Macaca fascicularis: one gene and its partner. The protein of the gene in region 1 interacts with the protein of each later gene in a biochemical or structural test. Links are inferred from orthologs where the notes say so. Each region holds a gene or a part of one and is shown in the gene's direction. Other genes may lie near its edges.

What was found.
Region 2: the proteins of PSMD4 (region 1) and UBQLN1 form a complex in vitro, tested with the Homo sapiens proteins (6 studies listed by BioGRID and IntAct, with this or other methods). The link is inferred for Macaca fascicularis from reciprocal best matches to the Homo sapiens genes PSMD4 and UBQLN1.

The regions. Positions count from the first base shown.
Region 1 is NC_088375.1:109,952,423-109,956,075, reverse strand, and holds part of PSMD4 (26S proteasome non-ATPase regulatory subunit 4), read left to right. Parts: coding exon 1-63; intron 64-869; coding exon 870-956; intron 957-1,202; coding exon 1,203-1,271; intron 1,272-1,430; coding exon 1,431-1,646; intron 1,647-2,036; coding exon 2,037-2,154; intron 2,155-2,342; coding exon 2,343-2,474; intron 2,475-2,555; coding exon 2,556-2,623; intron 2,624-3,530; coding exon 3,531-3,653. UniProt on the Homo sapiens protein: Component of the 26S proteasome, a multiprotein complex involved in the ATP-dependent degradation of ubiquitinated proteins.
Region 2 is NC_088389.1:114,273,135-114,276,660, reverse strand, and holds the end of UBQLN1 (ubiquilin-1), read left to right. Parts: intron 1-901; coding exon 902-1,054; 3' UTR 1,055-2,880; downstream 2,881-3,526. UniProt on the Homo sapiens protein: Plays an important role in the regulation of different protein degradation mechanisms and pathways including ubiquitin-proteasome system (UPS), autophagy and endoplasmic reticulum-associated protein degradation (ERAD) pathway.

The DNA.
Region 1 (3,653 bases):
AAGCTGCACACTGTCCAACCCAAGGGCAAGATCACCTTCTGCACTGGTATCCGCGTGGCCCATGTGAGTCCTACTGGGTTCTCTGGACTGTTTCTCCCTGCTCTGAGGTCCTGCCTCCATCATACTTATTTCTCCCCTGGATTCCTGAGCTAGGACCAGAGCAAGAGAAAGTTAACTTGGCATAGAAAGGATATGGGGGATGAGTCAAGGGTAGTTGAGGGTTGTAAGGGGAAAAATCCCTAGAATTGAGAATTAAGGTTGGGTGTGGTAGCTCACGCCTGTAATCCCAGCAGTTTGGGAGGCCAAAGGAGGAGGATTGCTGAAGGCCAGCAGTTTAAGACCTGGCACATAGCGAGACCATGTTTCTCTTTTTTTTTTTTTTTTTTTTTTTAAAAAAAAAAAAAAAAGGCTGGGTGCGGTGGCTCACACCTGTAATCCCAGCACTTTGGGAGGGTCACCTGAGGTCAGGAGTTCGAGACCAGTCTGCCCAACGTGGTAAAACTCCATCTTTACTAAAAATATAAAAATTGGCCAGTACTCGGGAGGCTGAGGCAGGATAATCGCTGGAACCCAGGAGGTGGAGGTTGCAGTGAGCCGAGATCGTGCCACTGCACTCCAGCCTGGGTGACAGAGCGAGACTCCATCTCAAAAAAAAAAAAAAAAAAAAAAGGAGAATTAACCTCCCTTCTTTATGCACAGAGAGTCACAGCAAAAAGGGAGGAATTGGGGGTGTTAAATCTTGTGTGAGCGTGATGGTAGATGGTATACTTGAGGTACAAAGAAACTGTAAGAAAACGGAACCGAGTGACAGAGGAAAGAGCTGAGTGATTTCTCTGGTTGACTCTGAGAACTTCCTCTCCCTTTACAAGCTGGCTCTGAAGCACCGACAGGGCAAGAATCACAAGATGCGCATCATTGCCTTTGTGGGAAGCCCGGTGGAGGACAATGAGAAGGATGTGAGTCCAAGTGGCAGCTGGGGAATGTGGGCAGCCAGTGTTTGGGACTGAGGTCTTTCATCCCTCAGGAGAACCTGGCAGAGGCATCAGGCTCATGACTTTGGGGAAAGGTGAATGTGGAGAATTCAGTTTTTCTGTTGTAGGACCTTGGGGAGGTCAATAGAGTTCTGTATGCTTTTATGCGGCAGGTCCTTTCCCCCCTCGAGTATGGAACAAATTTCTTGATTTTTCTCCCCTTCTTCCCAGCTGGTGAAACTGGCTAAACGCCTCAAGAAGGAGAAAGTAAATGTTGACATTATCAATTTTGGGGAAGAGGTGAGTAGGGACTGATTGGAGGGCATTGGCTTAATTTGGTTATAAACAGAATGGTCCTTAACCCTGAGGAGTGTGGGCACTGTAGCAGAGTAGTATGGACGTGGCAAAGAACAGGGAGCAAGGCCTGAAGGAGGGCGTCCTGTGTTCTTTCCTCACCAGGAGGTGAACACAGAAAAGCTGACAGCCTTTGTAAACACGTTGAATGGCAAAGATGGAACCGGTTCTCATCTGGTGACAGTGCCTCCTGGGCCCAGCTTGGCTGATGCTCTCATCAGTTCTCCGATTTTGGCTGGCGAAGGTGGTGCCATGCTGGGTCTTGGTGCCAGTGACTTTGAATTTGGAGTAGATCCCAGTGCTGATCCTGAGCTGGCCTTGGTGAGCAAATGTTGACCCCAGGTAGAGCCCAAAGGCCCTTTTTTGTTCTTTTCTGGCACACACATCACAGAGCTTCTACTAGGCTGAACAGTCCTAGACACTCCCAGTAACTCATATTCCAAGACCTCCTTTTGCCCCCTCTTCCCTATACTTCTGTCTGATCTCTAGGAGCACTAATGTCAGACGCTTTCTTTTTCACTCCCCCTGATGAAAACCAAGGCTTCTCCCAAGTCCTTTTTAATCCTATACCACTGCTTATCCCTCCAGCTTCTCTGTGTGATAAACCAGAAGCTGCCCCTTTATGTTCCTTTCCTACACCCCAACTAACTTTCCCAGCTCCCTGTAGGAGTGAGGGCAGGGGAGCCCTGATTGTGCCCTGCTCTTCATCAGGCCCTTCGTGTATCAATGGAAGAGCAGCGGCAGCGGCAGGAGGAGGAGGCCCGGCGGGCAGCTGCAGCTTCTGCTGCTGAGGCCGGGATTGCTACGACTGGGACTGAAGGTGAAAGAGGTGGAATCTGAAGTCCTGGGACTGTGGGATGCTAAACATTGAAAGCTGGGTATAGGCACTGCAGGGAGAGTGTGGAGGTCTGACAGAGTAGGAATATGTGGGAGGGCCAGGCTAGGGGAATGGCTTTGGAGGCTGGCCTGTGTGGATATGGCATCAATTCTACCCTGCTCCTCTTTTCCTTTTCCCAGACTCAGATGATGCCCTGCTGAAGATGACCATCAGCCAGCAAGAGTTTGGCCGCACTGGGCTTCCTGACCTAAGCAGTATGACTGAGGAAGAGCAGATTGCTTATGCCATGCAGATGTCCCTGCAGGGAGCAGGTGAGCCAGAGCCTGGGTGGTGCCTAGGCAGAGGGCTGGGATGAAGAAGGGTAACTGAACAGAGTGACCTCTCTTCCTCAGAGTTTGGCCAGGCGGAATCAGCAGACATTGATGCCAGCTCAGCCATGGACACATCTGAGCCAGCCAAGGTGAGACCCAAACCTGCCCCCGCATCAGGTTTAAAGTCCTTGAATTTAGATCCTCATCCCTCTGAGGCTGGGAGCATTTCTACCATAGCTAAGTCCTTTGAGGAGCAGAGGGAAACACATGGATATGCATTTCTTACATGTAAACCTTGCTAAGGTAGCAATGCTAGTGGTCAAAGTTGGATAAGTGTCCTCATGTTCTGTAATTTTCCTTCCTTGCTGGTGGGAGCAGCCTGGGCAGTTCTCTAGGATGTCTACCCAGGAGGGAGAAAAGAGGGTCTGGGAAAAAGAAAAAGGAGAACTGGGTGTCTTGAGAGCAGGAAACCTCAGTGTGATGGAATCTGTTTTTCTCCTCAGAGCTCAATTAACAGAGTTCTCAGGCCGGGCGCGGTGGCTCAAGCCTGTAGTCCCAGCACTTTGGGAGGCCGAGACGGGCGGATCACGAGGTCAGGAGATCGAGACCATCCTGGCTAACACGGTGAAACCCCGTCTCTACTAAAAAAATACAAAAAACTAGCCGGGCGCGGTGGCAGGCGCCTGTAGTCCCAACTGCTCGGGAGGCTGAGGCAGGAGAATGGCGTAAACCCGGGAGGCGGAGCTTGTAGTGAGCTGAGATCCGGCCACTGCACTCCAGCCTGGGCGGTAGAGCGAGACTCCGTCTCAAAAAAAAAAAAAAAAAAAAACAGTTCTCAACAGGTGCCTCCTCTATTTGGTCAGTAATAACTGTTTGCATTCATGCCATAGAAAGGATTTTGCTGATTTGTCCTTTCCTTACCTCGGCCAGAGGTGCCCGAATCCCCACACAGTCAGAAGGCAGGGGAGCTCCGGCAGCGGCATGCTCCTGTCCTTCACACCTGCTTACTCCCTGCTGCTCCACACCCTCCCCTGAGCTCACACTGCCTGTTTGCAGGAGGAGGATGATTACGACGTGATGCAGGACCCCGAGTTCCTTCAGAGTGTCCTAGAGAACCTCCCAGGTGTGGATCCCAACAATGAAGCCATTCGAAATGCTATGGGCTCCCTGGCCTCCCAG
Region 2 (3,526 bases), on another chromosome or scaffold:
GCTCAAGCTATCCCACCCGCCTTAGCCGCCTCCCAAAGTGCTGGAATTACAGGCGTGAGCCACTGTGCCCGGCCTGCTTTCTGTTTTCAGGCCTTACTAAATACAATAAACAGAGTAGTGTTCTGTCATATACATATCTGTATTCCTGATAAGCCAGCGTAGTATAGTTTCTGGCTCATGGTAGGTACTCAGTAAGTATTCATGGAATAAATAAGAAAGAAGGATTTGGAGTATTAGAATTAATTGTTACATAAGTTAACTTACCTCCGAATTACCAAGTAGGCCTAGGATTGATTGGTCATTTATGTGATTTATGTGGGGTTTTTTTTTTTTTTTTTTTTTTTTAACTTCATTTCTGAAGAAAAGATTTGATGCTGCTGAATTGTCAGAATTAAGAGTATAATTTTGGGCCTGAAACTGAAACTCTTTTCTAAGAATTGACTGTCCAGTGTGCAAGTTAAACTCACATTCATTCAAAGAATCATTGAAACTTTAGAATTTCATACATGAGGATACCGGCTTTTATAAGTTACTCAATTGGTCAGTAGCTATACAAATCATCTAATTCTGAACTATTTGTATATATATATGTGTTCAAATTTTTCTGCACGTACATGATCCTCTAAAATAACGGTTGATGTTTATTAAGCTTCCCCCCCTTCCCCACCAAAGTAGAGTCGTGATCTATTTGACGTGATTAGGTATAAACTAGACTATTTAAAATAAAGTGCTAATGGACTTTTAAATATGTTGGATATGTTTCAAGAGGTGGGCAGTGTTTTTGAAGCTCAGTAGATCAGCATATGTTATAAAAAAGCAATTAAAAAATTTTAAAAGTCAGTCAGGTGTGGCATGGATTGGCTTCCTTTAGAGTTGGATTAATTTTTTTTTTCTTTAATAGCTACAGAATCCAGAAGTCAGATTTCAGCAACAACTGGAACAACTCAGTGCAATGGGATTTTTGAACCGTGAAGCAAACTTGCAAGCTCTAATAGCCACAGGAGGTGATATCAATGCAGCTATTGAAAGGTTACTGGGCTCCCAGCCATCATAGCAGCATTTCTGTATCTTGAAAAAATGTAATTTATTTTTGATAACGGCTCTTAAACTTTAAAATACCCGCTTTATTTCATTTTGACTCTTGGAATTCTGTGCTGTTATAAACAAACCCAATATGATGCATTTTAAGGTGGAGTACAGTAAGATGTGTGGGTTTTTCTGTATTTTTCTTTTCTGGAACAGTGGGAATCAGTGCTTTTCATTTAAGGCTACTGCATGCATCACTTCTGCATTTATTGTAATTTTTTAAAAACATCACCTTTTATAGTTGGGTGACCAGATTTTGTCCTGCATCTGTCCAATTTATTTGCTTTTTAAACATTAGCCTATGGTAGTAATTTATGTAGAATAAAAGCATTAAAAAGAAGCAAATCATTTGCACTCTAATTTGTGGTACAATATTGCTTATTGTGACTTTGGCATGCATTTTTGCAAACAAAATGCTGTAAGATTTATACTACTGATAATTTTGCTTTATTTGTATACATATAGAGTATGCACATTTGGGACTGCATTTCTAGAAACATACTGCAATAGGCTATCTGAGCAAAACACCTGTAACCAAAAAAGTGAAGATAAGAAAATACTCTTAAAGCCGAGTATTTCCTAATTGTATAGAATCTTACAGCATCTTTGACAAACATCTCCCAGCAAAAGTGCCGGTTAGACAGGTTTGTTGAAAATATAGTAGAAAAACTGATTCTGGTTATCTCTTTAAGGACAATTAATTGTACAGACACATAATGTAACATTGTCTCAACATTCATTCACAGATTGACTGTAAATTACCTTAATCTTTGTGCAGACTGAAGGAACACTGTAGTATACCCCAAAGTGCATTTGCCTAGGACTTTTCAGCTTCTCCCATAGGTAGTTTAACAGGCATTAAAATTTGTAATTGAAATGTTGCTTTCACTGAAAAAGTGTCTAAATGTTTCAGTTATTTTTAATCGCCATATAAAAATAGAACTCTCTTTTGGGTTTATCTGTTTTCTCATGCACAGGCAATACACGAATTTAAAATGAGTTGTGAGCCAATTGTTTCTGGAGTGTTTTGGTAGTTCTGTTACGAAATAGTTAAATATTGTGCTTTTCAGAGCCTCAGAAAGGGGGACGGGGTGGGGGGGGCGGGCAGTGGAATCTATCCTGGATGGGGCCAGCTTAAATAATACTGGCAACCAAGATTCTGTTAGGATTTCTGTGCATATAGTATAGTAAAGAAGTATCATTCAGGGGTGAAAAACAAAGAGCCGTTTTAATGATGTTGAGTACATTTGGCTGTTTTATAGCCTTTTTCTTCCCTCCCCAAAGAATTCTGTTTGCCTAACTCCCAAACTGTTGGGGTGGTACATTCCTTTAGGACCAATTAAAACAGAGTTTAGGGTCAGTAATACATTTGGCTGACTCTGGTTCAGTATTCTCTTAGGTGATTATATTCTCTCATGTACAGTTACAGGAAATTAAAATGTTAAAGTAACCTAAAATGAATTCAGACCAATAAAATCAAGGGAAATACAAGTTGATTCCATTACTTCTGTACGTTGCTTGCTATTAAAAAAGGTTAAGAGGCCAGGTTACCCACCAGTCCATGCACTGTTCTGACACTTTCCCCAGGAGGAAAACAAGTACAAAGGTTATGGTGGAGGCATGAGTAGAGATTGTTGAGAAGGGTATTCATGTGTCTTTGCTCTTTCTGCTTGATGCCTCAGTCTGGTTTAAAAACTTCTGTACTGGCGAATGTGGTATTCAGTGTGGGATAGTGTCATAACTAATTTGACAATTTATTAATCACAAAATAACAATAAATCTCTAGCTTTTACATTTGATTTGTCTTGCCTCTTTTGTAGAAAGAAAAACAAATGTCTATAACTTTTGCTAACCATGTGTTTTAAAGGCTATTGAAGTTGATTTACCCCAGATTTTGTCACATTTTACATTCTTTATTTTTCAGGTTTTCCAATTAAAATGTCACATGGTCTTTTGTGGTGTGATAAAAAGATAGCACACTGGGAAGGTAGGTGACTTGAGCTCCACTTTTGATCTTGGTACTTGACTAGTTATGTGACATTGAGGCGTCATGATTTCTTTATTATACGTGTACTGGTGAGGCTTATAGGTGCACTGGACTGGGCGAGAAGCTCTGAAGTACCTTCAAGCAGCTGCAGTGGTATGGTTTTCATTTTTAATATGTTTACCTTTAGGTCTAAGTCTAAAGATAAATATCTACATCTTAAGGGGTTCAAAATACTTAAAATTCTTATCAGCACTAAAAGGATGTTTAAAATACTGTAGGCTTAAACTGTTCTCATATTGAGTGATAATATTTAGTACAAATTGAATAAAGAATGGAGTAGTGAAGGTGTCATTTCAGGATTTTATTTCCTAATTATACTATTTGTGATATCGTAAACAAAGTGTAGCAAGTACTGAAAAATCAGATGAATGACACCTGACCTCTGTGTGTATT